Nothobranchius furzeri: one gene and its partners. The protein of the gene in region 1 binds, or shares a complex with, the protein of each later gene. Links are inferred from orthologs where the notes say so. Each region holds a gene or a part of one and is shown in the gene's direction. Other genes may lie near its edges.

Region 1 (11,053 bases):
ACTACTGCTTTAACAGAGGCTCCTAATTCTAGGCCACCTCGCATTGCCAGGTCCAGTGCGGTCTCCTTCCCAATCCCAGTGTTTGCTCCAGTGATCAGAACCGTCTTCCCATCCAGCCGAGCTGTGGATTTGCACTTTCTTCCAGCAGCATATCTTCTGTTTGAAACACAGTAATAATTTAGAACAACACACAAAGATGTAAGTATTAGAATAACCAGTGATCCGTTATGCATCCAGTAAAAGCCTCATTAGAACTGAACATTTGGGCTTCTGGCTTAATTATTCATAGAGAAACTTGTCAGAGCGGTGCTGAGCGTGAAGTCGTGTGACCCACGCCACCGAGCCGGTTCCGCCCCGTGCCCAATGGCACCGCCGGAGTAAAGCGCACAAATAGAACTCCTCCCACGCTCCGGCTCCTGATTGGTCCGAGCACCTCAGGTGGAAGACCCCCCCTTCTTCCTCCTCCACCGCTCATGTTTGTGCAAAAACTCAAATCATTTTATTAAAAAAATCCTTTATGGCTGTCTGAGTCGTTTCTATAAACACCGAAATAATAAACGAGCGCTCTAAGATCCTATTGGCTGTGAACGCACGTGAAGACAACAGAGTAACAACATGTCAGCCCAGAAGTAACAAGCTGTCCATGGTGAGCAAAAACACGGGATTTTCATGAGAATTAACGACAGTCCTGATCGGCTACTCACCGGATGTGTGGAGCGAATAAAACCACCAGCAGCGTCACCACTCCGATACCCGCGATGATTAATAAGAGGATCATGGTGCTGCGATTTGGCGCTTGGCTGAGAGGCTCCCAGCAGGATGCTGCTGCTGATGTGTAGGCTGAACAGCTGATGTCAAACGTTGAGAGAGCAAGGATCAGCCAAACACGCGAACAGCATTGTGGGATTGTAGTTTTCTACACTGACGAATACCAGAAAACGTACTGTCCACTCGATTTTGACTCACTTTTAGTGTCACGTGTGAGGATTTCAGTTTGACCAATTTATTTTTGATACTGCCAATCAGTAGTAGCTTGTTTAAATAAATGTTGAAAATTTTTTTTCCAACACACAGGGTGTGAATGTGTGTGTGAATGGGTGAATGACTGATTGCGTTGCAAAGCGCCTTGGTGGGTTCCAGGATTCTAGAAGGCACTATATCAAATACAGACCATTTACATAATTGTTTTAGTTGCCATTTCATATCTTGCTGTTCTTTTTTTTTTATTCTTTTTTTTCGTGTCCTTTCTGGCTGTGAAGCAAACGAATTAATGTCTGCATGCTGGTGACAAATTCGGAGACAGAGGTGAAAGAGAAAGGAAGCGACAAAAGGAAGGGGGTGGGGGGTTCCACAAAAATAAACAATCAATGATGAACAAGAGTTTGCTTCTAGACCTGCAGAAAGAGCCCAACACTGAGCAAAGCAACCCATCACGCCAGCTCCCCCTCCTAGCCTCTAGCCATGGGAAGCCAATAAGAAGAAGAAAGTATCATTTATATAACGCCTCTCGAGATAAAAATCACAAGGCGCTTCACAAAAACAAAAATTGTAAAAATATAAAAAAGCATTTAGAAAATGTTTAAAAATGTATTTAAAATGAGCAAAAATAGGCAATTGTGATTAAAAATGTTGAGAAAGAGAGAAAGTGAACAGGAAAGAGGGAAATCAGTGGATCTTGAGGAAGGTGGAATAGGTGGGGAGAGCAGAATAAAGAGAGAGTGGTGAAGAAGGTCATACAAAAGCCAGCTTGAACAAGTGAGTCTTCAGCTGCTTTTTAAAGGAGCCCACTGAGTTCACTGATCTCAGGCTCAGGGGGAGAGAGGTCCAGAGTCTGGGGGCCACAGCAGCAAATGATCTGTCACCTTTGGTCTTTAGCCTGGTGCTGCACAACCAGTAGGCTTTGATCACTGGACCTCAGGGACCTGCTGGGGGTGTAGGGACTGAGAAGATCACCAATGTAAGATGGTGCTTGTCCATGTAAGGCCCTATAGACCAGAACCAGGGTCTTGAAATGAACCCTGAAGTTGACTGACAGCCAATGAAGCTGGAGGAGAAGCGGGGTGATGTGGGTGTGTTTGGAGGACTAGGTCAGAAGCCGAGCACAGACATTCTGAACCACCTGTAGACGGTTCAGGGAGGTTCTGCTCAGACACGTGAAAAAGCGACAACACAGGTGTGCTAAGACCCCTAGTCTCCCTCTGCCTGCTCCAATACAGTGTTAGTGTGTGTTGATGAGGTGTATTCCATGGTTGTGGTGAGCGGGCAGTGCGGGCATCGTCTGGCCTACGCTAGCTGATGCCACCACACAACCCCACTTCCCCCCACAGCCCTCTGTATCTAAGTGAAGTTTAATATTGGAAGTGGGCACCGGCACTCGGGATGAGGCTGAAAGATCCCCTTGCCAAATGCCGTTGAGTGTGCTCACTCCCAAAGCCCTAAGTGTGTGTTTACGTCGAATGTCATTGGTGGAAGTGCTTAATGTGCAAATAAAATTGGGGGGCAGGCTGTCTCAGGAATGCGGAAATGGGATCCATACCTGTACCCCCTGACTTGCCCACCCCCCATGATCCTATGTGCATGTTTGTGTGATGATGTGAGGGAGCAGGAGGAAAAAAAAATGTATGGGGATGTGGAGGAATGGTTGATTGGCCTAAGCCCTCCAGGGAGCTAGCTCCTCCACTGGCCCCAATAGGCACCTCTGTTCCCAAAATGCCACCCAGGGCATGGAGACCCCAGCCCACCTAGCCAGGGCCCAAAGCAGCAGCATCGCAGAGCCCTACGGAGTCCGAGGGCACCAACCCAGCCCCACCCCAGCAGAATATCTACTCCCATCCCTGCATTTGCACAACTTCCAGAATATGTAAGACATAAGACATCAGGTAAGGTTGGGTCCTCCCCCTCCTGGACAACCCCCTCCCCCGTGATGTGACAGAATTGTTATTATTTCAGAGGAGCCAAGGTCCACCTGAGGCCCCTGAGCCTGGGCCAGGCACCGCCGTGTGTTCCCGCCTTCTTCCCAGCAGCATACAAGTTAGGAGCCAATCCCCAAGGCCCCGCCCAGATCCCCACATGGGGGCCAGCTACCCCCACACCCTTAGCCCCCAGGCCCCCACCCAGACCCACTCAGGGGTGATGCAGCCACCAGGCAGCAACCCATCGCCACCGTCAAGACCCCCCAAGGGGCTCCACTCACAACCGCCAGTAATCCACCCCTCGAGGCAACCCAAGCGCCTCCAGAGTGGGACAGCAGCCCCCCAGCCCCAGACACCCCCAGTGAATCCACCTCCAAGGAACGTCCGGATACTGCAAGCGCAGACCCTCCACCCCATCACCCACATCATCCCGCAGGACAGTATCAATGACAACCCCCCCCCCCCCCCCACACACACACACACACACACAATCACCTCTATGTGATGGAACCGATCAAAGGAGCCCATATAGATTGATTTGAAGTGGAAGAAGAGGCTGTCTCAAGTGTAATATGATCCAACAAAAGATTTATATACTGGTTAATGCAAAGAGTATCTCTATTTTTCCAATTCATGAGGATAGTTTTTTGAGCGACGCATATGGCAGTCAGAACCACGTCAACCAAAGGTGTTTCAATCGGGACATCATCCAGGTATCTTGCTATTCTTTATAGGTAGCCTTGTATCTAAATAGTAAATAATTTATAAAACAATAATTCTGTACAAAATTGATTATTATTATAATGTATCTATAATTTAGGCCCATTATTGTTTTAGGAAATAGCCTGGCTAGAAAATAATGTAAACAGACAAAGTAAATGCACACTAATATAAACTTCGTTCATTTTTATTTAATATTGTAGTGACTAGTAATAGTTTATCTTATTTTATGATGTTTCAGTTGTCTTTTAACAAATGTTTCAAATCTTTTTTAGAAGAATTAGCGGAAAAACTACAGTTCCCAGAGACCGTTTAAAGCTGTCTACCTTCGTGCCTGAATAAAATACGTTAAAATAACTTGTAAGACATTTAAATAGTGTTAAGCATATTGATGGTATTGTCACATTCATCTTCAGTATTGAAATAAATTTCACCGAACGTTTAGCATGTGAATACTTCAAATTTGTAGCAATGTTGTAAAGTTTAGGCACTTGGTCACGAGAGTCGTCATGCGGCAGCGGAAGAGTCTCATCGAAGCACAAGCAGTTGATCCACTTGTGTAGTTCGTTCCGTCCTTTAAAGAAAAAGGTACAGGTGGCCTTTTTATGACAGACAGCGAGATTACATTGACGGAAAATGTCGTCGGAAGAATTTGAGAAGTTACACGAAATCTACAGATCCTTGTATGACGAGCTAAAGCTAATCCCAGAGAAGGCTCTCAGCTGTACCGGAGGTAAATAAACCCGTTGTTCCCTCATTTAACCTCGTTTAAGTGTCAAATAACAAAACCTTCTTGGTTTAAACCTCGAACTTGTTCTGTTCCTAATGCAGAGGAGAGGAAGAGACTGGTGAGGACCTTCGATGAGAGACAGGGGGAAGCTGATGAAGTGGTAAAAACGTTTGTTTACGTCAACATCTTCACTTGTTTCTGTTTGTTATTTATTAACAGTGAGTGTTATAAATAAGGCCAAGAGTTTGCTGTAATTATTACCGCAAAACATCAACATAAGTACAATGACTGGCTGTGATGCTAAAGCTAATGTAGCTGAATGCATCTTGTGTGTAAAAACCATCGACATTAATATATGGACAATGGGTTTCCATAGACTCCAATAACACGTTTTTGAGGCTAAATGGGAGGTGGCCACCACCGCCATTTTGACCGTGTCACAGGTTCCGTCAAGCCCAGACAATTCCACAAAAGGGAAGAGAGGAGGAGCTGAGGGTGGGGCTGTAAGGCTGGGATCAACTGACAACACCCGGTCGAGCTATCTACAAGCTAACCTGAAGCTAACCCAAAGCTAATGCGGATGTGGGAGCTAAGCTATCGGAGGTAGCAACCTAGCTACAACTGGAGTTAACTGTGCACAACACCAGAGCTTCTGAGTCAGAGGTACGCCGGGCTGACCGCTGGGTAAAATACGGTGGAACCCAGAGGTCTCGGAGACCTCCACAAGCCGGCAGCCGCACAGTACACAGAAGCCGCGATCAGACAGATGCGTCGAGCTGCTGGGAGAACCAGCCGTCAGCTCGCTGCAGCAAACAGAAGCTGCGATCAGACAGATGCGCCGAGCTGCGGGGAGAAGTGGCGTATTTTGGCGGTTCTGGCTTGCCATAAGAACCAGCCGTCAGCCCGCCGCAGCACACAGAAGCCGCGATCAGACAGCGATGCGCCGAGCTGCTGGGAGAACCAGCCGTTAGCCCGCGCAGCTAACAGGAGCCGCGATCAGACAGAGATGGACCAGGCTGCGGGGAGAAACAGCCGGCATTCTGGGTGGAAAACATCGGTCTCCCGAGAGCTCCACAAGCCGATAGTCGGAACCCAGCTCCACCAACATGTTATATTTCAACCCATTTTCTAAAGTGCAGCATTGTGTTAAATGCACTGGGTTTTACCCTATTACATTTAAATTTCATGGTTAAACAGTACATGTTAAAATCTAAGCTCAGCTTGGCAGTGACCTAAAATACATAAATATAATTTTACTTACCGAAAAAAATGAAGTGGAGACTCCTTGGACGCTCTATTAGTGCAATTAATGCCACAGCAAGTCATTTTGTCCAACAATTGCACAAAAAATATCCAAAAAAGAATACACAAACACAGAGACTCAAAATCCCGGAACAGTTTCCAAGCCAGACTGAGGCTCTACTGAGGCCTTTCCACGGAGCTAGCTCTGTGGTCACGTGTGTCGGATGCTCATTAATTATACAGAATTTTAGGCTTTTAATACACTTAAACAGAAGAGTGAGAAAAAAAATTCACCCCCCTCAGAGTTGTCATGAGTATAAACTAGATCATTTAAACAAAAAACATGTTTTGGTACCAGGCTGTAAACATGTTTATTTCTGCTGTGAAATTGGCATTTTTAACATGGGAGTCAATGAGGATTTGCTCGTTTCTGACACCAGCCCCCAGCGGATGAGGGTGGAACTGCAATTTCTCTTACTTCCGGGTTGGCCTCAAATTTAAAGCCACATTGTGGGGGCCTGGTAAAAACGCAGCTTTACACTTTAAGCAGAGAGGTAGTGCAGTAATCATTAAATCAAAAGTCTATTAAACTTCAGTGTTAAAAACACAGAGGAAGATGCTTAAATACGTGCCTCACACTGCCAACTTTATTCGGTACACCTTGTATCTGCAGGGTTAGATCAGAACTACCTTCTCTCTTCATGTCATTGATCCAACAAGATGTTGGAAACTTTCCTTAGAAGTTCTGGTCCATATTAACATAACATCACACAGCTCTGTTCATAAGGAAAACCTCCTACTCCACCACATTCCATAAGTTCTGGACTGAGATCTGGTGACCGTGGAGGCCGTTTTTGTCCAGTGAACTCATCGTCATGTTCTAGAAACCAGTTAGAGATGCTCTGAGCTTTGTGACATGGTGCATGATCGTGCTTGAAGTAGTATCAAAAAATGGGTCCATGTGGTCATAAAGTGATAGACATGTATGGTCAGCAACAAGGTTGTGGTACTTAAACTAGGCTCAGCTGGTACTAAGGGGTCCAAAGTGGGACAAGAATGCCACCAGCAGCAGCTTAAAGCATTGATGCAAGACAGAATGGACCCATGCTTTCATGTTGGTGACACCAGATGAATTGAAGCCTCAGTATCCTTTTCTTAGCTGACAGGAGAGACACATTGATGTGGTTTTCTGCTGCTGGATCTGCTTCAGGCATCATCATGTTGTGGTTCAGAGATGCTGTTCTGCAGACCTTGGGAGGAACGAGTGATTGTTGGAGCTGCTGTTGTCTTTTTATTTATTTTTTTACGGTGTCCTGTCCGGCTGTGAAGCAATCAGAATTGATGTCTGAATGCCAAAGATAAGTAGTATTATTAATTGTATTATTTAGTCTGGCAACGCTCTAATTATGGCTCTCAGTTGTGGGGCAGGTTCAACCGTTGTCTTTCAAATGATCTCCGCATGCTACTGGACAATGAATGTGACATACTCTTGTTTCTAGGGATGGGTACCTTTGACATTTGAATCGATTCGGTACTAATTCCCGGTACCTACGAATCGATACCGGTACTTAACGGTACCAATTTTCGATACTTTTGAGTGTTTATTATTTTAATTCTCTTTTATAATTAAATATATATTTTTCTCAATATATAACAACATTTGACAAATATCACGATAAATAACATTCAACTGTTTGTATTAACATTGTCCTTGTAGTTTTATAAGCTGATAATTAAACTGAAGCAAACATCTTTACTGTGAACTAAATTTACTGTGTATCTTCATTCCTTTTGCCGTCTTTTTTCATTTAATTTTTCCTACTGGGAAGTTAGAATTTCCGAGGAGAAAGCGAACGCACCATTAGCTGATAACAACGGTGGCAATGGAAGCTAACATATCAAGCTAACGTTATCTTTAACAGTTTATTTAACTGCTGGAGCAGATTAAAACAATAATGCCTCACACTTAGATCGTTGTCACTGGTTTCATCTTCACCCAATCACCCGTCGCATTTAGTAAAGTGAAGCCAAACTTTAGAGCGCGTTCATGTTCTAGTTGGAAATTCGGAGTTCCGAGGAGAAAGCGAACGCACCATTAGTGAAACGGAAGCTAATATATCAAGGTAACGTTATCTTAAACATTTTATTTACCTAACGGAGCAGATTAAGATGAGGATGTCTCACTTAAATCGTTGTATGTCGCTGGTTTCATCATCACCCAGTTACCCATCACATTTAGTGAAGTGGACCCAAGCGTTAGCGTGCGTTCTTTCTACCATGCTGCTCTGTTTACAACACGCTCGCAGGGACCGACGACATAACGCTCTTGCGCATGCGCAGCTGTCTTGGCAAGTTCTCGTTATGAAGGACGGGTACCAAAACGAGGCACCGTTTGAAACAACGTGAATCGTTGCTCGGTCGGTACCTTAAAAAGTACCGAATTCGATACCCATCCCTACTTGTTTTGCTCTGTTGCATCATCCCACCCACCAGGCATATAGAGTGCCCTGATTGGCCCACAAAGCGGATAAAGCTCTGTGATTAGTTCACTAAGCAGATAGAGCGCTATGATTGGCCCACCATTATGGACCAATCACAGCTCTTTATGTGTTTGAAACCCCTCTAGAGAGCTGTGATTGGCCAGCCTGAATGCTGTTGGGGCTGCAGAGGTTCCAGTGGAGCGTTCCTAGACCAAACTTTGCAAAGCAAGAATTTGGTCTAGTTCACTAGGCTAAAAGACAAGCCTTACAGTTTTACTTTCACAGGTGGAGCGTGATACCAAAACTTTACTAGAAATATTTTCGGTTGCTTTAAATCCCAACTGACATGAGGACAGAAGTGAAAGAGAAAGGGGGCGAAGCGAATGAAGAGGTGGTGGCAGCTGTTGTCTTTCTATCATCAGAATCCACTTTATCAGCCAAGATTGTTACACAACCAAGGCATCTGGATACACTGTCACATCACACCAACAGTGTGGATATCAATGACAAAGAGTACAATATATCTGTTTGTACAGGCAGTTATTAAAAATATATAAATATTAAAAATAAAAGAAAAAGGCGGGTTTAGTTTGTGCTGTTTGTCGATTGTTTCACTGGAGAATTGCTGAGTATTCTGACTTTCGCTCCCTCCGGTTAATAGACGACACCACGGTTCTTCATTCACTGATGGATTTATTCTTCCTTCACACTTCTCCTCCAAAACACCATTAATCCACCGTCAAACTGTCATTACACCAAAGTACAGAATAACCAAACATAAATATTACAAATGAACATTAACCCAAGTTAACAAGTACGCTATAAATAAACACAGTTAACGTACCTCGCTGGCTGCACGTAACCATAAGGGAGTGAATCCGCTTCAGGAACAAAACTTAACAAAGGTAATTCGCTGGTTTCTTCTTCGTCTTCTCTACAGCTTTCCCTTACTTTAAACTGCTTATTTATTCATTCCTGTGACTGCGTAGGTTATAGCTTAGCTTCTTTTCACATGCTCTTTTACTTCCCTTTCCGTCACCCAAAATGGGCCGTGCGCAACACAGCATGAAACTTACCCCAAAAGAAACAACAATAGACAAGGGAAATAAGATACATACATAACACAATAAATTAAACAAATTGACATAATTTACATTGTGGCAGTTAAACTCCCACCAAATCTCAACTTGAGATTTCCTCGTAGATTTGAACCTTCAAGTTATAAGCATTTACAACAGTTTAACACATGCTTATTCAGCTTCAACCAGTAGAACTATTTTTTGCACTGGCCTTTCAAGATAAACTGGCCTAGTTGAACGTTTTCCCCGTTCATCCAAAGTTGAGTCGCTAACCAACAGCTTCACCTTTCTGACCCTTCCGTCAGCGCTGGGGTACACCTCTGTGACTCTTGCTAGTCTCCAGTGATTTCGCGGAGCACTGTCCTCTTGAAGAATAACAATGTCATTGACCTTGATGTTTTTCTTATCCCCATGCCATATCTGTCTTTGCTGGAGATTAAGAAGGTACTCCCTCCTCCACCTTGTCCAAAACTCATTCGCCAAGAACTGCACCTGCCGCCATCTCTTATATATAAGAGGTATAAATCTTGACTTACGAACTGACCTGGAGGTGGCAATATGATGTTAGACTTCATCAGCAGAATGTGATTTGGTGTGAGCGGTTCAAGACTTGTTGGATCATTCAGGTGCTCTGTTGTCAGGGGTCTGCTATTTATTATAGCCATCACTTCATACAAAAATGTCCTAAGTGAGGTGGTGTCAAGTCTTTTAGCAGACTGATCAAGGATTGCTGTTAGGACACTTCTGACTGTCCTTATTTGCCTCTCCCAAATGTCTCCCATATGGCTTGACGATGGGGGATTCATTACAGACTCACAGCCATATTCCTTCAACTGCTCATGATCCCAGTTCTTCATTGAGTCCATGAACTCTCTTTTTGCGCCCACAAAGTTGGTACCTTGATCACATCTCAACTGCCTAACATTCCCACGTATTGCAATGAATACGCACAATGCATTGATGAAAGCATCCGAACTGAGGTCATCAAGCATCCCGATATGTACAGCTCTGCAACACATACAAGTGAAGAGAAGGCCATACTTCTTCAGTTCCTTTCTTGCATCCCTCACATAGAAGGGATGCAAGATTGATTTTGGTCCGAAGCAATCCATGCCACAATATGTGAATGGAGGGGTCATTTCCACTCTGTCCTTTGGCAAATCTGCCATTTTTGGGTCGTGCTTGTTCCTTCTATACTTTCTGCATGTGACGCACTTAAAGATATGTGAGGCAACTGCACCACTGCATCCAACGACCCATATCCCATTAGATCGTAATTCATTTACAGTCATACCTCTTCCTTGATGCTGCACCTTCTCATGATAATGCTTAATCAATAAAGAAGACACATGGCTTGTTTTTGGCAGAATAGCGGGATGTTTAACGTGCGGATGAAGATCACTTCTTGTCAAGCGGCCGCCTACTCTAAGCACACCCTGCTCATCCAAAAATGGACTTAATTTACATAGCTTGTTTGCTTTGTCTTTGGATTTTACGTCCTTGCATTGTTGCAAATTCTTGATTTCACTGCTGAATACTTCTCTTTGGACCAATCTGATTAAGAAAAGTTCAGCTTGTTGTCTTTCCTCAACACTTGTACTTCCATTGAGTTTGGGGCTAAGACCCTTAACTTGCTTAGCATGACGTTTAAGACAAGCAATAGCCTTCACAACTCTTTTCCAGTCAGAAAACTTGGTCAGGCGATCCACCAATGTTATTTTTGTCCTTGCACTGGTGATGAGTTCTTGAGCCCTTTGAAGTTCTGGATCAGTATCACTAACCTCTCCCACCTTGGCATCCTTTGTGGGTAGTTCCCTTTCCCACAGAAATTCTGGGCCAGTGAACCAATTTGAAGCAACGAGCCGATCTGCCGATAACCCTCTCGAAGCA
Region 2 (10,863 bases), on another chromosome or scaffold:
AACTGGCTCCTTTCGATCTGGAGGAGCAACGGTTCTACTCCGAGTCCCTCCCGAATGTCTGAGTTCCTCACCCTATCTCTAAGGCTGAGCCTGGCCACCCTACGGAGGAAACTCATTTCGGCCGCTTGTATCCACGATCTCGTTCTTTCGGTCATTACCCAAAGCTCATGACCATAGGTGAGGATTGGAACGTAGATCGACCGGTAAATCGAGAGCCTGGCTTTCTGGCTCAGCTCCCTCTTCACCACGACAGATTGGCTCAGCGTCTGCATCACTGCAGATGCTAAACCAATCCGCCTGTCAATCTCCTGATCCCTCCTACCCTCACTCGTGAACAAGACCCCAAGATACTTAAACTCCTCCACTTGAGATAGGACTTCTCCCCCGACCCCAAGTTGGCAAGCCACCCTTTTCCGGTCGAGAACCATGGTCTCAGATTTGGAGGTGCTGATCCTCATCCCTGCCGCTTCACACTCGGCCGCGAACCTACCCAGCAAGAGCTGAAGGTCAGAGCTGGATGAAGCTAGGAGGACCATATCATCCGCAAAAAGCAGAGACGAGATTCTCCTGCCACCAAACTCGACACACTCCACACCAAGGCTGCGCTTAGAAATTTCGTCCATAAAGGTTATGAACAGAACCGGTGACAAAGGGCAGCCCTGGCGGAGTCCAATCCTCACCGGGAACAGGTCCGACTTACTACCGGCTATGCAGACCCAACTCACGCTCCTCTGGTAAAGGGAATGAATAGCCCTTAACAGAAAGCCACCCACCCCATAATCCTAGAGCGTCCCCCACAGGGTGCCCCTGGGGACACGGTCATAAGCCTTCTCTAAATCCACAAAACACATGTGGATTGGTTGGTCAAACTCCCATGTCCCCTCCATCACCCTTGCAGGGGTATAGAGCTGGTCCACAGTTCCACGGTCAGGAAGAAAACCACATAGCTCCTCCTCAATCTGAGATTCAACTATCGATCGGACCCTCCTCTCCAGTACCTTTGGAGTAGACCTTTCCAGGGAGGCTGAGGAGAGTGATCCCCCTATAGTTGGAACACACCCTCAGGTCACCCTTCTTAAAGATGGGGACCACCACCCCGGTCTGCCACTCCACAGGAACTGCTCCCGATGACCAAGCGATGTTGCAGAGACGTGTCAACCACGACAGCCCTACAACATCCATAGCCTTGAGATACCCAGGTCGAATCTCATCCACCCCCGGGCTCCGCCGCTGCGTAGTCATTTGACTACCTCAGCAACTTCTGCCCCAGAGATTGGACAGTCCATCCCCAGGTCTCCCGGCTCTGGCTCCTCCTCGGAATGCGCGTAGGTGGGATTGAGGAGCTCCTCATTGTATTCCTTCCACCGCCTGACTATAGCCCCAGTTGACGTCAACAGCTCCCCATCCCCACTGTAAACCGTGTGAGCGAGTTGCTGCCTCCCTCTCCTGAGGCGCCGGATAGTTTGCCAGAACCTCTTTGGAGCCGATCGATAGTCTTTCTCCATGGCCTCACCAAACTTCTCCCACGCCCCCAAAATTTTGCCTCGGCAAATGCCACTGCTGCACCCCGCTTGGCTATCCGGTACCTGTCTGCTGCCTCCAGAGACCCACAGACCAGCCACGCCCTGTAGGCCTCCTTCTTCAGCCTGACAGCTCCCCAAAACTCTGGTGTCCACCAGGGGGTACGGGGGTTGCCACCATGACTGCCACCGGCCACCTTGGGACCACAGCTAGCAACAGCTGCCTCAACAATTGTAAAGTGGAACAAGGCCCACTCGGAGTCAATGTCCCCCACTGCTCTCGGGACTGAATGTAAAACTACTTTTCACAAAAGAACTTCTGTTGTTGTGTGTGTAAACAGCTTCACTCTTCACCTCTAAGCTTAATAAAAAACGCTTCTTTGCTCCGTTGTCCTCAAAACAAAGGACAAGTTTAATTCGCTACACACACACCCACGGGAATAACTGGGACCTGCGAAACAAACTCGTTCTGGATGATTTCTGCCTAAAATGTAATTTAAAAAACTAATATACAAACGAAAATGTCTATAAACTGAACCGCTTTAAGCTTCTTAGGTTTCTACGGCTAGTTTTTAACAAACTTACGTTTAAAACTTCGTAGCTCTCCCCATTTACTTTTCCTGTTGAAAATCCACAGCCGGCGCGCAAAGCATGCTGGGATAACCTTGTTCTGTGAGGATACAACAGACCCGTCCTCGAAATGTGGGTGGAGCGAGGACGCATTTGAGGACGCGAGAATGAGTATTCTTGGAATTCGGACAGTACTCGTCGCTGCGTTGTGACGTCATCAACCTCAAAATGCGCTCTTACAAGCATCCTTCCCGTGGATTCGGACACACCCCATGTTTCCTTCTACAGGAGCCTGGGAGGACAAAATATTACTGTTTTGAAACAAATGGTTACAAAACAGTCGCTATTCACAAACATTGTTGTTTTACACATTTACCTCTTCACCTGTTGCCAGTGATGAAAGGGAGTCTGATGTGCTTGTCATTTTTCTGGAGGTTGCACTGCCAGGGTTTTTTGACCCTAATGGCCATCCGTTGGTAAGGTCTTACTTGAACACAAAGTTCTTGTTCAAGTTGAACAGCGCCTCGCCTGGAAAACAGACGAGAGCAGACGGAAGCAGCAGGGGGAGTGGCGGAAAGCCGGCATTTAAGTCGGACAGATTTCCCTAATAATAATAATAATACAATTAATTTTTAATGCACTTTACATTACAGAAGTAATCTCAAAGTGCTATAGAGTATAGGGGACAGGTATAAGGTACACAGCTAGTTAAAAACTGTTAAAATTTCAGGATACTATCAAATATGGAAAATAAAAACAGTCCCCAGAAATAGATAAAACCCATCTAAAAAGTCATTACAGTAGATACAAACAATAAGTAAAAACAACACAATAAAGTAAAACACTCAATAGATCATTGTGCACTAGAAAGCCTTATTAAACAAAAAGGTCTTGAGGCCTTTTTTGAAAAGCTCCACAGATTGTGTGGCCCTTAGAATCTCTGGGAGAGAATTCCAAAATTGAGGGGCCACTGCCTTGAAGGACCTGTCTCCCATAGTGGAGAGTTTAGTCAGTGGTTGGTGCAGGCGGTGTGAAGAGGTGGTAGATCGGAGGGTTCTTGTGGCAGTGTGTGGAATGAGAAGTTCGCTCAGATAGGCAGGAGCAGTTCCATGGATGCACTGGTGAGTAAGAAGGCCAATTTTGTACTGAACCCGATATTGGATGGGCAGCCAATGAAGTGATCTCAGAACTGGAGTGATATGATCGTATTTGCGTCTCCTCATCAGGACCTGGGCAGCTGAGTTCTGGATGTGCTGGAGCTTTTGTATGCTCTTGCCGGGGGCCCCAACGAGGAGGGCATTGCAATAGTCCAACCTGGAGGAGATAAATGCATGGACCAATTTCTCTGCATCTGGCTGAGAAAGAGAGGGACGGAGTTTAGCAATGTTTTTTAGGTGGAGAAAAGAGACCTTGCAGAGGTGGCGGATGTGGGTGTCAAATGTAAGATTTGAATCTAGTCTGATACCAAGATTTGTTACAGTAGAGGAAAGGGGAATGTCATGACCGAAAATGGAATTACTGCTAAGGGAGAGAGACTGTGTTTGATGTGTTTGATGTGGAGTGCCGATAATGATAGATTCCGTTTTATTACTGTTTAGTTTTATTACTGTTTAGTTGAAGAAAATTTGCGATCATCCATGCTGTTATGCTCATCTCCTCCAGGCAGACCTGAAGTACAGATGGAAGAGTTTTAGGTATAGTGGAGTCCATTTTCATGTATAACTGAGTGTCGTCTGCATAACAGTGAAACGATATTTTGTATTTATGGAAAATTTGTCCAAGTGGAAGCATGTAGATGGAGAAAAGGTTTGGCCCAAGAACTGACCCCTGTGGTACTCCACAATTTACAGTGTAGGGGGATGACTGACATTGTCCTGAAGCTACAAATTCCGTTCTGCCCGTAAGGTACTCCTGCAACCAATGTAGTGTGGTTGCCGAAAGGCCAACCACAGTCTGGAGTTGATTTAGTAAGATGGTATGGTCCACAGTGTCAAACGCCGCTGACAGATCCAGTAGGAGGAGGAGAGATGGTGAGCCCTGATCCGCAGTTAGAAGTAAATCATTCATAACACGGATCAGGGCAGTTTCTGTGCTGTGGGCTGAACGGAAACCTCAATTTCCCTACATGTGTAGCTCATGGGTGACGACCGGATGAACACATCGCGTTAGCGTTCATACTTGTTTAATTTTCAGTTTTAATTCTGGTGCCTGTTAGCAGCTGAAACACATCCTCACGTGCTTCTGGATATCATATATTGTATATGAAGACATGACTGTAACAATAAGTAAAGGTTATCAGCTGTAGATTTAGTGTGCTCATAGGAAACGTGACAAAAGAACACAAAACACATTTCTCTTTATGGCCTATATTGTTGTCATCATCAGCATAACATGATTCACAGAATACATGTGACCAACTAACATTTTATGTTCTACCACCGGATGTTCGGATCAAAATATGAACCAATCAGATCTTAGATCAGGTGAGAGACAGGCGTTTCCCGTCAACCCCAAGGTTTTGCAGCCGAGGGAGAGTAACTGCAGCACCTTGCTCCAAAATCTGCGGCCACTTTGATCTCACGAGGTTATCGTTGCCTACGTATGCATGACGTCAGACCAAGTCGGCGTCAAGTTGGACACAAATCTAACCGCCATGCACAGCTCGCCGATCACCGCTGATCTAATCTGCACAGAACTGGCTTATCTGGAACACGGCCACATATACTGCTTGCTTGCATTGCTTTAGGTATCTTCTGCCCCCTGTCGCCAGGGAAAATGCACACTGTCACTTTAAACTTATATTAAACCTGAAATTATCACAAAATATTGCAATCATCTGTATAGTCAGGGAGGGACTGATTTAAGAAACGTGTTCTTTGCTCATTTGGCATTTATCATTTAGTTGTTATAGAAGTATGATTTTTAAATGTTTTCAACTTTAGTTCTGAACAATAAATAGAAAATCTGGCTAATTAAAAAAATTCTAGAAGACAATAGATGGTTGTTTTGATTAAATGATACGACAACCTACCACAGCTGTCCTTAGACTGTTGGCGGTGATCACGTGGCTGAGCACCTGATCGTGACGTAGCTCACCAACATGGCGGACTGGAACAGAGGTGGGTTTGAATTTGGACACGTATTCACTTTTATCTTATAGTTTATTTGTGATGTTGATGGTTGAAATGCCATTTTATAGCGGTGCGAGGGGGACTGTGACGTCAGCAGACATCAGAACCAACGGTTCAGAGCCCGAACCCCCAGCTGGGCTAGCATGAGGCTAGCACTAGCTGTTTAACAACACCTTCTTCGCTGAGCAAAGCAGATAAAGCGATAAAAACGGGACGTTTCTCAGATTATGAATAAAGAAAAGACAATCGGAGGTTTAGCTCGTGGTTGACTTTCATTTAAATGGTGAAAGGGCAGACAACAACAGTAAAACAGGATTTGAGGCTTACTTTTCATATTTAGTTTTGTTTGGATAATTTGGCTGACATAAGATGGTCTTTATGGAACATAACCGGGGTTTCCTTTAAGTAAACCTTTCCTGAACGCACCACTAGTATAAAAAAGGTTTTAAATGTTACTTTTACTACGGAGCAGTACACACATGTAAGTACAGGTCACACAGCACCACAGAGACAGAAAAATAAAACAGAACACCTTTATCAGTCACGTCTTGAAGAAATGCATGTTTCACTCTAATCTGTTTCCCACCTGATTATGTTCTGATCCTGTTGCTGACTCTGATCTCAGTTCAGTTTTAACTGATAACACTTTCAAAGTAAAAGTTGGTGTCCTTGCTTTTTTTCTGTCCAGAAGTCTTTTTTTCCAGATCATCACTTTTAATGCTTTTCCTCCCAGCCGTGGACATTCTCTCCTTTTTTGACATAAATTGTTCAGCTGTTGCCTAAAGTGACCATGTGTAGTTTTCCTGGCGATAGGGGGCAGTAGATACCCGAATCACAGCAAGCAAGCATTATTTTTGTGTTCAAATAAGACCTTACCAACTGATGGCACTTAGGGTCAAAAATCCCTGGGAGTGCAACCTCCATCAAAATAACACCAGATTCCCTTTCATCACTAAACGAGTGAAGAGGTAAATGTGTAAAGCAACAATGTGTATTAATGCTCAAAGTTTATAACCACTTGTCACATATCAGTAAATGCATTTTGTCCTCAGACTTCCGTAGAAGGAAACATGGCATCCAATATGGCATCGCTCGGTGACAGGGTGTTTCTCAATGTGAAGGCACCTGGCTTTGCGAGGCGATGTCTTGCTAGGCCAGGTGCCTTACTTACGAGGACACTGTTCTTCCTTGGTCAAAGAAAACGTTTAAATGGAACAGACTTGCATCACGTGACCGCAGCTTCCACGACAGCCATGTAACATCACATGAAACGGGACATAACGATATATTTTATACGTATTAGTTTCAATATAAATATATAACGAGGTGTTTACTTTTAAAATTGTGTATGTTTATTAAATTAAAAATATAAGCAAGTTACTACCCGCTAGCCACCGAAGCTGCAACTAATAAGCAGCCAACCAACAATAGATAACTTCGTTGGATCTAAAAAAGAAACATTTTAAATTAGTTCTCTTACTTTTAAACTTGAAATTTGCCCCCGAAGTAGCTGCCGGTTTTTGATCCGCCATGCTTTTGAAAATACTGCGGTGTATTCTGGGAAAGTTTTGCCAAGGCTAGGCTAAAAGACACCTTCTGTGTATCCTTGCTCAGCTAGCTAAACAGCTAACTAACGGAGAACACACGCCTTGGTAGAACATGAACATTGGAACGCGTCTTGGCAGCTCCTGATGACGTATCTCCTAGGCAACCGGGGCAGGGTCAAGACATCAAGGCGAGGTTCCTTGGCATTGAGAAACACCCTCTGTCCCTTTCCAATGTATTTTACAACAGATCTTTATGGTAACTTGTTTTTAAACTGCCAATATTTTTTCAACAACTGTTTTAATTCTTTTACGACAACAGTTCGGTGGATATTTCCAGAGATTAAAGGTGAAAACTACACACTGTCACTTTAACAGGATCTTGTTCAAACAGCACCAAGCTTCGGACTTCGACTGGTTCTTTTCTAGTTCTGCCTGTTCCATTTGCTGACTGGTTCTTTTGTTCGTTCTTCGTATCTTCCCTGTCCTCTCATTGGATTTTCATTGTTTCATGTTGATCCTTTGAGTCTTTAATCCAACCTTTTATTTCAATTCTCATTTAGTTTTTGTGTGGAAAAAGTATTCCTTACGAACGAATGGAATTAACACTATTGAGATCTGTGTATTAACATTGTTTTAAATCTATTACAGACGAGACGTTTAGTTAGTGTGATAAAGCAGATGTTTGAAACCATCACAGAAATGTGACAGGTTGTATTTCTGTGCTTGTTCAGGTCACGGCTCAGTTGACGACATGCTGGATGCTGAAAACAAACGGATGGCTGAGAATCTGGCCACCAAAGTCTCCAGACTCAAATCTGTATGTGAGTCCGATGAGTTGATAGCTTTTCTAGGTGTTTGTCAAACTCACTTTTTTCTCAGCAGCAAGTCTTGGTCTTCCCAAAAAAGCTGTGAAGCAACTGAAACTTGTTCAGAAGTAGGGTTGTCACGGTGTGAAAATTTAACCTCACGGTTATTGTGACCAAAATTATCACGGTTTTCGGTATTATCGCTGTATTTTTGTTAACGTGTTACATTTTCAGATAACTAAATAAACCCTGTATATCAGGAAAATATTGTCCTCAGTTTGTGTCAAAATTTTGCCTAAAATGTGTTATTTTGTAATTATGTTGTTTATTTGTTTACATTTTTCTCCTTTAGTCTTTAAAATACCAATATTTGCCCATAACTTCTTATTTTATGTCTGTTTGATGTCATCATTTAAAAATATTAGATCAGATGATACTCAGTACTCAAGTAGCCTTCTAATCAGATACTTTTTTACCCTTACTTGAATAATAAACCCTATTTCAGGAAAATATTGTCCTCGGTTTGTGTCCTTCCAGTGAGCTTTGCAGATTTGGGAAAATGTCATCAGGCAGTAATCGTTGTTAAATTCATAATTATTCTCGGAGAGAGACCAACTCTTATCTGCCCCTGGGAGCCCCGTAATGCATAGCGTCATTTCAACATGGGGGTGTCCGCGACACGGTTTATATGCAGGTAGCGGCGCTGCGGCTGCTTTATATAGCGACTCGTTGCATTCTCCCTCAACCCAAATCCTCGGATCACGCATTTGAGCTAAAATGCTAACGTTAGCTTGCCTTGCGTTGACTGTAGAGTTGTGGGTGATGGTCACGCAGATGTGTCATGACATTTGAAGCGTTGCTGCCTTTCACAGACACTTTTTCTGCACGTGCTGCAAACAGGATAGCCGTCTTCTATCAACTGTCCCTCGGCATTCTTCAAACATCCAAAAAATGCCCGTACTTCCCACTTTGTCTTCTTTGAGGGATAATAAATGTCCTGAGTGCTGCCGTCTCCTCCTTTGGCCGTTATTTCAGCTTTAGCTTCAAGAAAGTTTTGGTTGTAAACAACAAAGCGCGCATGTGCCGCCGGCAACTTCAGCAGATGATACGGTGGCTGGTAAGGGTCACCGAGCCTACACCGCAGCCAGGTAACCCACCGAGATAATATAGTTTTTTAAAAACAAGACGGTTATTATTATTGTCAACTTTTTTACCGGGGTTTACCGCTACACCGGTTACCGTGACAACCCTAGTTCAGAATGCTGCTGTCAGAGTCTTAACAAGAACTCCTGTTCTTAGATCCCTACACTGGTTGCCAGTAAACCACAGAATAGACTACAAAGTGCTCCTACTAGTTTATAAATCACTCAATGGCATGGGGCCAAAATACATGTCAGATCTCATTCCTGTATATACACCCAATAGGGCTCTGAGATCCCTTGGAAACAATCAGCTGGTAGAACCTCGGGTCAGAAGCAAACATGGTGGAGATGCATTTAGTTACTATGCTGCTCACATATGGATCCAGCTTCCCCATGACCTCAGATCTGCCCCAACTCTAGTGTTGTTTAACGCTAAAAACCCGAATGTACTCATCAGCCTTTACATGATTTGTTTCTTATGCTGGGTCGTCTCCACTGTAATCTCTGATGTAATTGCTCAACCATAGCTCTGTCTTTTCCTTTTAGCTCTAGAATATAATTGTATCTGTGTTCTCGTGTTTATTGTCGTGCCATTTCATGCTAAGTGTAAAGCACATTGAATTGTCCCTGTGTTTGAAATGTGCTGTATAAATAAAGCTGCCTTCCCCTAAAAATGAATAACATTTACCAAACAGCATTGGGGTTTGCATTTTCACAAAGACATAATGAAAGCATTGTTTTTGTATTTATGTTTGTTCACCAGAATGCCCCAGCTAGAGTGGAAACAGGATTGAGTTGAAAGTTGTTGTAACCTCTGATCTTCTGTCTCCTTTTTGGCAGCTAGCATATGACATCGACAGAGAGGCTGACGACCAGAACGAGTACCTAGACGGCATGGTGGGTCCAATCTGTGGCTGACATCGTCTTTGATGGAAATTTTGGACTTTATTTCCAGATTAAAGTCAACATTTTTAGTAAAACTAGTCAAAGTAGATTTTCAAGATGAGGAATAAAAACAAGCACTGTCTCAAAGGCCTACAGTCTTTCAAGCAGAACTTAAACGTTAAAGTCCCATTAGTCGTCACCCAGGTGGAGTGTTGAGCTGCAGACGCGGCTGTGCTCTGGAACTATTGGGTTGTTTAAGCCCCCAATCGAACAAAACCTTTAATGCTGAGTGTCAAACGTTGGTTAACATTTCTCAAGTCTGCCTCGTCCATTATTCTGGAGAACGAGAGGAGCCGAGTGTGGCTGAGAGGCCGCCAAACACAGTGGAGGACGAGCTTCTCCGAGCCTCCACAGAGCCGGCTTCAATCAAAATACACCCGAATGAATCCACTGTTTATATAAGGAACAATAACACTACCGGATTTACCGGTCGATCTACGTCCCAATCCTCCCCTATGGTCATGAGCTTTGGGTAATGACCGAAAGAACGAGATCGCGGGTACAAGCGGCCGAAATGAGATTCCTCCATAGGGTGACTGGGCTCAGCCTTAGAGATAGGGTGAGGAGCTCGGACATTCGGGAGGGACTCGGAGTAGAACCGCTGCTCCTCCGGATCGAAAGGAGTCAGTTGAGGTGGTTTGGGCATTTGGTCAGGATGCCTCCTGGACACCTCCCTGGGGAGGTGTTTCGGGCATGTCCTGATGGCAGGAGGCCCCCTGGGTCGACCCAGGACACGTTGGAGAGGTTACATCTCCAATCTGGTCCGGGAACGCCTTGGGGTACTGCCGGAGGAGCTGGTGGAGAAGGCCGGGGAGAGGACGGTCTGGAGCTCCCTAGTTGGGATGCTGCCCCCGCGTTCCGGACCCGTATAAGCAGAAGAAGATGATGACGGCAATAACACTAACCCATTCATAATGGTGGATTTGAACAGCAGTCTCCCAGTCTCAGGGCACACACTCATACCATTAGGCCACTGAGCTGGTCTTCAGAAGGTTGAGTGGAGACCAAATTGTCTCTGAGTGAGTGAGTGAGTGAGTGAGTGAGTGAGTGAGTGAGTGAGTCGGTGGTCGTTTGTCTCGTGTCCCTGTGATGGACTGGAGGCCTGACCTGGGTGTCCCTGCCTCTCAGCCAGTGGCTACTGCACATAGACTCCAGCTCCTCACGACCCTAACAAGGAATAAGTGGTTTAGATGATGAGTGAG
Region 3 (11,018 bases), on another chromosome or scaffold:
ATTTTTTCTATAGGATCATTTATTTTCTTTTTAGACAAAAAATAAGATAAACTGTCTAAAAATGTAGATGTTTTTTGTTTTTACCTTTTTAGAAAATACTTTTTGCTGTGTACAAATTGTGTTTGAGACTGCAGAGCGCATTTTGTAGATGAGTCCACTGAAAACCAGATGTCTATCGAGGACAGAGCGACATGTTTCCCCTCAGACAACTTCAAGATATGTTTTCTTCACCTTCTGTTCCTTTTGACCTCATTGTCCCCTCATTCCGCTGAGATGTTGCTGTTCTCTGTCCTGTCTCCTCAGCATCCCAACCCCTGAAGATTAAAGGTTAATGCCTTGTTCAGATGTTGTGTGAGCATCAAACATCGGTGTGCTTTGTATCTGCAAAGTCTGCATTGTCCTGTAAAGGTAGCCCCAGTGTCTAAATATCTCTCCCCTTATTGAACTATATAGCATCTAATAATCTGCCCTATCCATACTGTGTATGATGTACTTTAGAAGTGTGTTTGTAATTTCATTTTAGCCATTCATCGCCATGAATCTCTGCAACTACTACTGTAGCCTATGTGGAAGAAAAATACTACACTCTTTTTTTGCTGCTACACCATTTGTGCCCTTTTATGACGTCTTTGTAGAAAATAATGCAGGTTTATGTTCTATTAGCTTAAGAAAATGGATTCAATGTCCTCATAAAAGTGTACTCTGCATCCTCGAATATATTCAGATCTATACCAGAATACAATCATGATGTTACAGATATTATTAAAGGAAATGTCTTATTTTTCATATAACCCTGTGGTTTTCTTCCTGCCCTCTGCTCCGACCCGCTCCCGTCTTTGTTTCTCTTGTTTTTAATCTGTCCTCTGACGGTAATGAAAGATAAACAGGGTCTTTTCATTACACCGCCACCATGGGAGTTGGGCACGGTGAAAAAGTGCGTATGTGATGTGACGTGATGTTGTGAGACATAATATTGTTGCTGCGCCTCCTCTCGCCTTTGCTGCTGAGTCAGAGGGACAACGGTGTGCTGTCTCACTGTGTGTGTGTGTGTGTGTGTGTGTGTGTGTGTGTGTGTGTGTGTGTGTGTGTGTGTGTGTGTGTGTGTGTGTGAGACATTATACATGTATTTAAATGCTCATGAAGCTATTTTTTGCGCTACTGTTGTAACACTGTTCATCAGAACATGCAGCAGTTTCAGTTAGTTGTTGCAAGTGTGCAAGAGCCACTTGAACAACATTTTATCTGTGTATTTTGTGCACACACTCTTCCTACCTGCAGCAGGACTGGTCTGCATTCAGTGCTGGTTATGTCCATATCCTAATAATACAGATGAAGAAGATTTCTGTCTCCGATACTCAGATTTCAGTTACAGATTAGGACGATGCTAACGTTTCACAAATCTGCACAAACTAAGGGAAGAAAGGGGTGGAAAGGATGGGCAGGATAAGAAAGAGGAAACAGGAGAGAAAGATGAGGGGAGCTAAGTGCTGCTACCAACCTCCCTGTCGAAGGGCACGAAGCCAGAACTAAATATAGCAGCAAGATTATGGAGACAGAGAAAGAGAAAAGGACAGAGTGAGTCATATGTCTCGATACAGAGAGGATGTGTCCCATCCAGGGTCTATTTTTTAGCACTTTGCGACTCTAAAACCTTCAAAATGATTGCTAAAAAGGAGCAGACGCACCATTGTTCTCTCCATGTTGTCATATATTTTATGCATTCATATGCTATGTCTCCTTCCTCGTCAGCCTCCCCACACCCACCCACCCCAGTCTGCACTTGTACCAGGACTTCCTGTATTTTTCCACCTTGCTTTTCTTTGCATTTGTTCTCACTGTTTTTCTAATAACTGCAGCCATGGTTTCCTCCCTGCTCAGTGTAGCAGCAGCTGTGTTGGAGCAGGTACTGGACGCTATCTGCTCTGTGACCATGTGTGTTGTTAGATGGTATCAGTGTGTGTGTGTGTGTGTGTGTGTGCGTGTGCGTGTGCGTGTGCGTGTGCGTGTGTGTGTGTGTGTGTGTGTGTGTGTGTGTGTGTGTGTGTGTGTGTGTGTGTGTGTGTGTGTGTGTGTGTGTGTGTGTTAGAGAGGAGTGCTGATAAACCAAACCAGGAGTGAAAGACTGGGATTTAGTCCATTGTTAACACGGTGAACACAAAGAACTTTTTTTGTTGTTTTGCAGGAAAACAAAACTTTGTTATCTTCAGCAGAAATGTGGATCCACAGACCTTGTCTGTCCCACTCCACAACTCCACTGAAGCACACTGAAAAAAAGATTCACGTTCTTCTCACTACATGGGAAACAGCGTGCGCAAAATAAACATGCGTAGAATGGAGCATGGAGATGTCTGCCATGATAAAGAAATTCCTGATGGTCATCTGTTTCACTATGTTCAGCGTATACAATGAAAATGTGACATGTTCACAGACTGCACCCGCTACCACTGCAGACGGAGTAAAGGTTAAAACGACAGGAGTTTTTTTTTTTTTTGTTTAGGATCATCTTCTGGATGCAAATGCACATGTTCCTGACCCAGAGACTTTTAACATATTCAGTCAAAATCAATGGATAATATGTAATATACATGACACATGTAAGAAAAGGGTTTCAGTTATGGCTAAAAGACGAAGAAACTGTTCTTTTCTGACCTCATATGGGCCAACGTTAAGAAAGCAGAGGAGTTTCCCGGCACGATTAAAGTGCGATATAAAGAGCGATGGAGACCATAGCTGAGCCGATGAGGGTTGGTAAATAGTTCTGACAATATGTTGGAAAGTTGGGAGGGGTCACTGTTGGGGGGTACAACAGGTAAAGGGTGAGGACATAGCTGTGGTTTAGACATGCTTGATCCTGCCACGAGGAGGATGCTGGTACCAGCAGAAGCAGAAGAACATCAGAGTGTCTGCTGGATCTTATCTTCATCGTTCCATACCATACCTGCAAGTCGACTCACCTGAGGTACCAGCCAATCAAATCCTCTGTTTACTGTTTTCTCCCTTGTTCTTAAGAAGGCAAAGGTTAGTATGTTCGTGACATGAGTTAGAATATTTTATTTGTATTCAAGTAACATGTACCCTACTTTACCGTACCATGTTATTTATAGAGTGCACTTGACACGGTGCTGCAACTGACCAAAGCGCTGCAAAAAATAAAGCATCACAAGCAGAAATCATCACGTGTGTCATTAAAACAATTAAAAAGAACAACGAAGTAAAATCAATGAAACAAGGTGAAACCACAAAATACCAATCCACAGATTTAAAATTGAGCAACCAAGGTGGAAAGAAGGATGACAAAGTATGAGTTAGTGCTTCATGGTTTAGGAGCTGAAGGCCAGGGAGAAGTAGTGTGTTTTCAGGCGTGATTTAAAAATGGTGATAGAGGGCACTTGCCTGACCTGGAGAGATCGTGAGTTCCAAGGTTTTGGGGCATAGAAAGAAAAAGCCCTTTCCTGCGGGTCTTCAAACGTGCCTTAGGGACGGTGAGGAGGAGCTGAGGAGGGCAACCAATGGAGAGAACGGGTGTAATATGCTGTCTTCTATCAACTCCAGCCAGGAACCTTGCTGCTGAATTCTGGCCAGAGTAGCTTTACTGGTGCCATAAAGGCAGGAGTTGGAATAATCTAGCCAAGATGTAATGAAGGCATGAATCACCGATTTAGAAGACGGGCACTCAGGATGGGCTTTAATTTAGAAATTTGTTGAGGTGGTAGAAGCAGGACTTCACTGTGCTATTGACCTGAGCCTCCATCTTCAGAACCGGGTCCATTTTTACTCCGAGGTTGGAAACAGTAGAAGTTACATTAGGAGGATGAGAGTGGTCAGGTGGCTGAGTCGCTCTAACATTATCGGGACTAAAAACAATTACTTCTGTTTTAGAGTCATTCAGATGAACACAGTCATACAGAGGTTTAGTGGAGTCAGTGGGTTTAAGCAAAACATAGATTTGGCAATTGTCTGCATGTATGAAACAGCATGCTGTTTGAGAATGGCTCCTAAAGGCAGAATGTAGAGGGAGAACAGTAATGGGCCGAGAATGGAACCTTGAGGAACCCCTTCAGGGACCGTAGACCAACTGGGATGAGTAGTCGTCCAGCCTGACCCTGAGGGTCCTGTTAGAAAAGTAAGAACTAAACCAGTCAAGAGCCAAACCTGTGATGCCAGCCCATGTGTGTAGTCTGGAGATCAAGATGTTATGATCAATCAGAATCATCTTTATTGTCAGTGCCCCAGCGTCCCGAAGCACAGAAGTATGGCTCGGCAGTACAGCCTGACCAGATACAGGCAGACCACGAGAGCTGCCATTCAAGGCGCTCATTAGATCTAAGGCTGCTGATAGATCAAGAGGTACCAGAACCACATGGAACCCTGAATCCAAAGTCAGAAAGATGTCATTAAACACATGAACATGAGCAATTTCAGTGCTATGCTGTTGTCTAAACCCAGACTGAAAAATGTGCATTACTTGATGGTAAATGTGTTAACTGTTCATGCACAGCTTTTTCAAGTACCTTTGATAAAAATGGCAATTTGGAAATTGGTCGAAGATTAGAGAAATCAGTGGGATCAAGACCAGGTTTTTTCAAAATCGGCTGAACAACAGCATGTTTGAATGCACTGGGAACTTCAGCCAAGGTCAAACTACAAAACTGTATTTTAATATGTTGAATTATTACCCAAGTAAAGTCAGACCCAAACCTGGTTGAAATCTATTACATGACACACAACTCAAAGCTGACAGATAAGTAATTTACTTCAAACATAAACAGGGTAAAAATCTGCTGGATCTAATGTTGAATATGCTGAGCAAGCAACCTGTAATGTGGCAACTGAGTGCTTTTTACCACAATAGTTTTCCCACTGACAGATCAGTCAGGTACAATTTTGAATTATTTGGGGGTTTGCACATATGAAACAACATGCCTATCTGCAGTGACTTTGCAAATTTAAAAATTCGAATAGATTTAAATGGCTGGGCCCTGTTAAAATTAAACATTATTTTATTTGTGCTGATCTTTGGTGTTTAGTCATTTGCTACATTCCTCTCATTAAGAGGGGGAACATTGCCCCCTGGTGGAGCTAATCTGCACCTACGGGGATTTACGTCTCAGTAAAGTAGACGTGGCAGTGACGTCAATTCCGGAAATGACCCGGATCGGAACTTTAACTAAAACGGTCGGTTAGTTCTTACCAGAACATCGAGTATATTCGATAAAAATGGTGTGATGCCGACTCAAGTAAGTGAAACGAATTGAAATATGAATAATCTTCATGTTTTGAGTTTAGAGCGCAATAAAGTTCGGTTTTAATGGTGACGGAACCGGATGAAAAGCCTGTAGCGTTCTTTAGCAGATGTTAGCCGGTGGTTAGCCGGTGAGGCCGAGATCAGCTGTGCGTCGTGATGGTTCTCGAAGACTTTGGGGGTAATAATTATTACCTAATGGTATTTATATTTTGCTCTCACGTGGGAATGTTTGTGAATTGTGGTCTTTGTCATTTACCGCATTGTTGCTGCGATTTAATTGTTTTCGTAGTCGGGGCTAACGGTACCGAATAGGTATTTTTGATTAGTCTTTTCATTAAGCTGTTCACCAAAGATCCTTTCATTGTTTTTGCAGACATGTGTGTGCTTGTGCCGATGAAGGACACACCACCTTGGATGTGAGTCTGTCCCCCAGATCAGAAGGTCTCCTTGTTTATATTCATCAGGCAGACAGACGTTAGGAAGAGTTTTTCGGGTGTCCACAGCAGGCTGGTGACACTGAGCTGCGTCAGAATGACGTGCCGTGACCGAACCCTCGAGTTTCAGTCAGCCTGTAAATCTCTACAAGGCAGACAGGTATGTTTGAGTGAACTACGGCCACCATTAAGGTGTACACCTTAAATTCACCCTTGCTTTCATGTTGTGAGTAAATTGGAATGCATTTATAACAATGATTCTTTTGGTTTTGCTTTTTGGTGTGTGTGTGTGTGTGTGTGTGTGTGTGTGTGTGTGTGTGTGTGTGTGTGGTTTTGGTTCCACTTTTTTATCAGTCAGGTGATACTGTATACCTCCACAAATATATTAGTTACAACAAAAATGTTTAATTAATAATCTAATAATATATTTTTATTTATCCACTGTGTGGCTTCATACTGTTGGTTTAAATCTAACATTTTATTCCTCATATCCCCCCACATGTCAGAATGGAGTCCAGCCTAGTAAACCTGCTTCTCAGTCTCTCAGGCAACGCAGTGACTTCACACTCATGGCCAAGTAAGAGCTTTAGAGGTTTTCCTACATGTTTTATTCATGTGTTACAAATGTTCTTTTTACTGATACCACAGCTACTTTAGTTTTGAGTGTTCCAGATGATTCTTAACCTGTCTTAAAACTCTCAAGAGTGGTTGAGATAAAAATTATTTTTTATTCTTTTTTTTTTTTCTCCTGTCCTGTCTGGCTGTGAAGCAAACAGAATTAATGTCTGAATGCTGGAGACAAGCCTTACAGATTTTACTCTCAGGTGGAGCATCAAAGCTTCTGCTTTTAATGTCATGTCTGATACTTAAAACTTTATTGTTAATGTTTTTCGAATGCTTTGTAATTTCGACCGGACACGGAGACAGAGGTGAAAGAGAAAGGAAGATACAAAAGGGGAGGGGGGGGGGTCCACGAAAATAAACGATCAATGATGAACAAGAGTCTGCTTCTAGACCTGCAGAAAAGGGACACACACAACAATACAACAGGAGCAAGCTATCACTGTTTCAACTTGATGAAGAAATGTAAAATCAACATTGTTTTATTGAACAATCACACGATAATAAATTATAGTGCATTTAGTGCCAACCACAGCCTTAAGACATGTGTTGAACGTGCCCAAGTTCCAGTGCGGGCATCGTCTGGCCTATGCCAGCTGATGCCACCACACTACCCCACTTGCACCCACAGCCCTCAGTGTCTAAGTGCTGTTTAAAATTGGAAGTGGTCACTGGCACTCGGGATGAGGCTGAAAAATCCCCCTGCCAAATGCCGTTGAATGTGCTCACTCCCAAGGCCCTAAGTGTGTGCTTGCGTGGAATGTCGTTGGTGGAAGTAAGGTGCAAGTAAAATTGGGGGGCAGGTTGCCACAGGAATGCGGAAATGGGGTCCATACCTGCACCCCCTGACTTGTCCACCCTCCAAGGTCCTATGTGCATGATTGTGTGATGATGTGAGGGAGCAGGAGGAGAAAAATGTGTGGGGATGGGGAGGAATTGCTGGTTGGACTTAAGCCCTCCAGGGAGCCAGCTCCCCCACTGGCCCCGATAGTGGGGGAGCCAGCTCCCCCACTGGCCCCGATAGGCACCTCTGTTGCCAAAATGTCACCCAGGACATGGAGACCCCAGCCCATCTTGCCAGGGAACCAAAGGAGCAGCATCACATCCCTGCATTTGCACAACTCCCAGAATATATAAGACATTGGACATTGAGGTAAGGTTGGGTCCTCCCCCTCCTGGACATCCCCCTCCCCTGTGATGGAACAGCAGAGGAGCCGAGGTCTACCTGAGGCCCCTGAACCCGGGACAGGCACTGCCGCATGTTCCTGCCTTCTTCCCGGCAGCATACATGTCAGGACCCGACCCCCAAGGCCCCGCCCAGATCCCCACACCAGGCCGGCCACACCCTGAGCCCCCAGGCCCCCACCCAGACCTGCTCAGGGGCAATGCAGCTGCCAGGCAGCGACCCATGGCCTCCGCCAAGACCCCCAAGGGACCCCACTCACAACCGCCAGTAGTCCACCCCCCGAGGTTTTATTCTAACACGTGTTAATGAAGCAGAACCCAGTGTTTCCCTTACACAGGCATAGGTGGCGGCCCGCCACGGCTGAAATCCCAGCGCCACGCCTACAAGATCCCAAGTTTAATTGATTTTTTTTTTCTTTGTGCCATTTCCCGAAGAAGCAGCGGGAACTACTCTGTTGTTGCTTGTGATGAAAGCCGGCAGGCAGCAAGGAGGAGGAGGCAGGGCAGGGTGGTTACAGATAGGGCGGATAAAGCATTTTTGATGAATACGAGCATGAAACGAGTAAAACTCATAAATATCTGTAATCGTGCTGAAAGAAAATACCCATTGGGTAACTGTCTTCATGCTCCGTGATTGGCCAGTCACATAGAGCGTCCGCCCCTCCCTACACACAAAACTCTGCAGCCGGGAGCTCAGTCCGGCCCAGGCATCCACGCACACACACAGACAGTAACGGATCTCTCTGTGATTGCTTCACTGTTGCTCACGTTTCTTCAGTACTCCCTAGGTTTTCTTCAGCTCGCCTCTTTTTCGGTTGAATATTTAAAGTTACCTTTTCCGTAACATACGTGGTGCATTTGACAAGACAGAGCTGAAAACGGCTCATGCTGCGTCGGTCACTGCCTCATCTCCGGTCGGGTTTTTTAAAATTATTTTAACTTTCTCTCTCTCTCTGTCTCTCTCTCATACACACACACCTTAATCAACATTGTTTTGTTTAACTTTGTGTGGGGAAAATGCCAACAACGTTAGGAAAAAATCAGTTTAATCAAATTAAAATAAAAACATTAAAAAGGTTTGTCTGGTTCTAGTATTTTAATTGTTCTAGTATTTCAATTGGGGTCAGTAGTTCCTACTGCATGAGTTTAGATGTATTAACTCATATACTTAAATATTAATGTTCTGATTTTACTGAAAAACTTGTTCTTTAATAGTTCCTTTACTATTGTGGTCAAAAATATTTAATCTAAATTCTGAGGCTGCTCTGTAAATAGTTTTCAAATAAACACACATAGCAACTTCTGATCAATCCATATCAATTTCAGATTTAAAATAATGTATTGATGTAAACCACACCCACTAATTTCCAAATAATAAGTAGGAGTTGCATTCATCTGTGTATCTCCTTTGACATTAGTGATATTTTCAGCACCAGAACAATGAAGCAAAGAAACCGATTCCTGAGTTTATGCTAGTAATTTTATTTATTAGGTGCATCTGACCTGTTCTATTTTTCTCTGAAATGAGATCAAATCAGTGCTTCTATGGGTTGTCTCCTCTCTGCACTAGAAAAATGTGCTTCATTATAATGATCACTGTAACGCATCTTGATGTTCTTAACAAATAAATTAAATCAAAGATATTGGTCAATAATGCCAAATATGTAAATTTGTGTTTCAGTCATTTTTATACTGACTTAAAAATACTTCATTAAGTCGACTAAGCAGGGGTGTAGAACGTTTTTAATAGGGCCAGCCCAGTAATGATCTCGGACCAAAATAAAGGGGGCAGAAAGTCAAATAAAGGGGGGCAAAAGGAGATGTTTTTCCAGACGCCAAGAAAAATTAAATGCCAAATCCCCCCTGCAAAGTGTGTCACTGAGAGTTTAAAACAAAAATTATTTTTGTGCAAATATTGGTGTATTCACCTTTTAATACTAGTTATTAAAATGCAGCAGTTGCTGGATTGGTGCAGTTCAAAGTGGAGTGCATCAAATAAAACAATATTAACATAAAGGTGAGACGTGTCATAATCCCCACCCACCACCACAACCACCACAGCTAGAAAAATTTCTAGGGGAAACACTGAGAACCAAAAGTAAGTTTCATCTGCTTGTTTCTTTGCAGGAGGATTGGGAAAGACTTAAGCAATACATTTGCCAAATTGGAAAAACTCACAATTTGTAAGTGATGGTTTTGTCATTTCTGCAGAAATAAATATTTTGTTTTCCGAAGTGCTGATTTTTGCGTGCTATTGCTTTGTTATTTCAGTGGCCAAAAAGAAATCTTTATTTGATGACAAGGCAGTGGAGATTGAGGAGCTAACCTACATCATTAAACAGGTAGGTTGAAGTTGCTCTCCAGCAGGTGTGAGGTTTATAAATGTGTATTAAAAATATCAGTTTTTGTTTATTAAAATACTGACTTTTTCATATGTTCTTCTGTCCAAAGGATATCAACAGCCTAAACAAACAGATTGCACAGCTGCAGGACTTGATCAGGTCCCGCAGTGCTCCTGGTGGCCGACACATCCAGACCCATTCCAACACTATAGTGGTCTCATTACAGGTACATTTTGTGTATTTGTAATATCTGATCTGCATATGGTATATTTCATATTTGTTCAAAATAATGGTTTAAAAAACTTATTTTAAGGTCTTATATCATGCAAAATCTACTTTTTGAGGGTTTTGACCATGTTATATTACTTCCTCATGAAAAACAACCCAAATTTATTTATTTTTATGCATGTGTGCATGCATTTTTATGTCGAAGCATTTTCTTTCCTTTAGCTCTGCAACTTTTTGCTAAGCTGTTTCATGCTGCTGGGTGGGTTATTGCTATGTCACGACTTTATTATCCTCATCTAGGTGGTTTTGAGTCTGCATCCCTCCTCCCCTGGACTGTAAACACTAACACCCAGTCTCTCCATGTAGCTAGCAGAGACTTTAATCTCCACAGTTGTGATTTCTTTCCTGTCTAGTCTGCACTTTAAATAATGCAGTCATTGAGTTGCACATGTCAGCTTGAACCTCTGGTCTCCAAGTCTGCAGCTGTGTGCTAATTTGAAATTCACATTGCAGGAAGCAGGGTTTGATTTAATCTGAGCCTCTTATTTCTGGGTTGAAGTAATGGCTCACAAAAATAACTTGTACTTTATAAAAAAAAACATCTCGATAGTGCTAACGGTAATGTTTCATCATACCTACCAGGGTTTTTCCTGCCTCAAATTGAGGCAGAGGTGGTACCACCCTGACCATGTGCCAGCACATGCATACTCTGTGCATTCAACTGCCTCACTTTTTAAAGGCAAAATATTATAAAAGGCTCAATAATTTTAGATTAGTGTTTAGTTTCCTTTTTCCCATCTGATATTTATAGTTAAAAATATTTTTAAATATGACCTATATTTCAGTAACATTTTAGGTTTGTATTAATAACACTCATCTTAGTCAAAATAACACAAATATATCCAGTAAAATATAATGCATTTCATTAACATGCATTTGTATTGGAAATGGTAATAACATTTA

The links. The genes of interacting proteins can lie anywhere in the genome.
Region 2: vti1b (region 1) and bet1l share a complex: the UniProt entries of both Homo sapiens proteins name them as parts of the SNARE complex. The link is inferred for Nothobranchius furzeri from reciprocal best matches to the Homo sapiens genes VTI1B and BET1L.
Region 3: vti1b (region 1) and stx5a share a complex: the UniProt entries of both Homo sapiens proteins name them as parts of the SNARE complex. The link is inferred for Nothobranchius furzeri from reciprocal best matches to the Homo sapiens genes VTI1B and STX5.

The regions. Positions count from the first base shown.
Region 1 is NC_091758.1:18,874,102-18,885,154, reverse strand, and holds the start of vti1b (vesicle transport through interaction with t-SNAREs homolog 1B), read left to right. Parts: upstream 1-4,136; 5' UTR 4,137-4,268; coding exon 4,269-4,365; intron 4,366-4,463; coding exon 4,464-4,522; intron 4,523-11,053. Other genes in the region: rdh12 (retinol dehydrogenase 12), read right to left, coding at 38-156, 705-778. UniProt on the Homo sapiens protein: V-SNARE that mediates vesicle transport pathways through interactions with t-SNAREs on the target membrane. These interactions are proposed to mediate aspects of the specificity of vesicle trafficking and to promote fusion of the lipid bilayers.
Region 2 is NC_091754.1:42,726,286-42,737,148, reverse strand, and holds the start of bet1l (BET1-like protein), read left to right. Parts: upstream 1-4,963; 5' UTR 4,964-5,190; coding exon 5,191-5,209; intron 5,210-7,499; coding exon 7,500-7,585; coding exon of another isoform or gene 7,586-7,589; intron 7,590-9,556; coding exon 9,557-9,613; intron 9,614-10,863. UniProt on the Homo sapiens protein: Vesicle SNARE required for targeting and fusion of retrograde transport vesicles with the Golgi complex. Required for the integrity of the Golgi complex.
Region 3 is NC_091741.1:87,966,226-87,977,243, forward strand, and holds the start of stx5a (syntaxin-5a), read left to right. Parts: upstream 1-5,118; 5' UTR 5,119-5,237; intron 5,238-5,618; 5' UTR 5,619-5,776; coding exon 5,777-5,839; intron 5,840-6,185; coding exon 6,186-6,256; intron 6,257-9,612; coding exon 9,613-9,668; intron 9,669-9,756; coding exon 9,757-9,827; intron 9,828-9,936; coding exon 9,937-10,053; intron 10,054-11,018. UniProt on the Homo sapiens protein: Mediates endoplasmic reticulum to Golgi transport.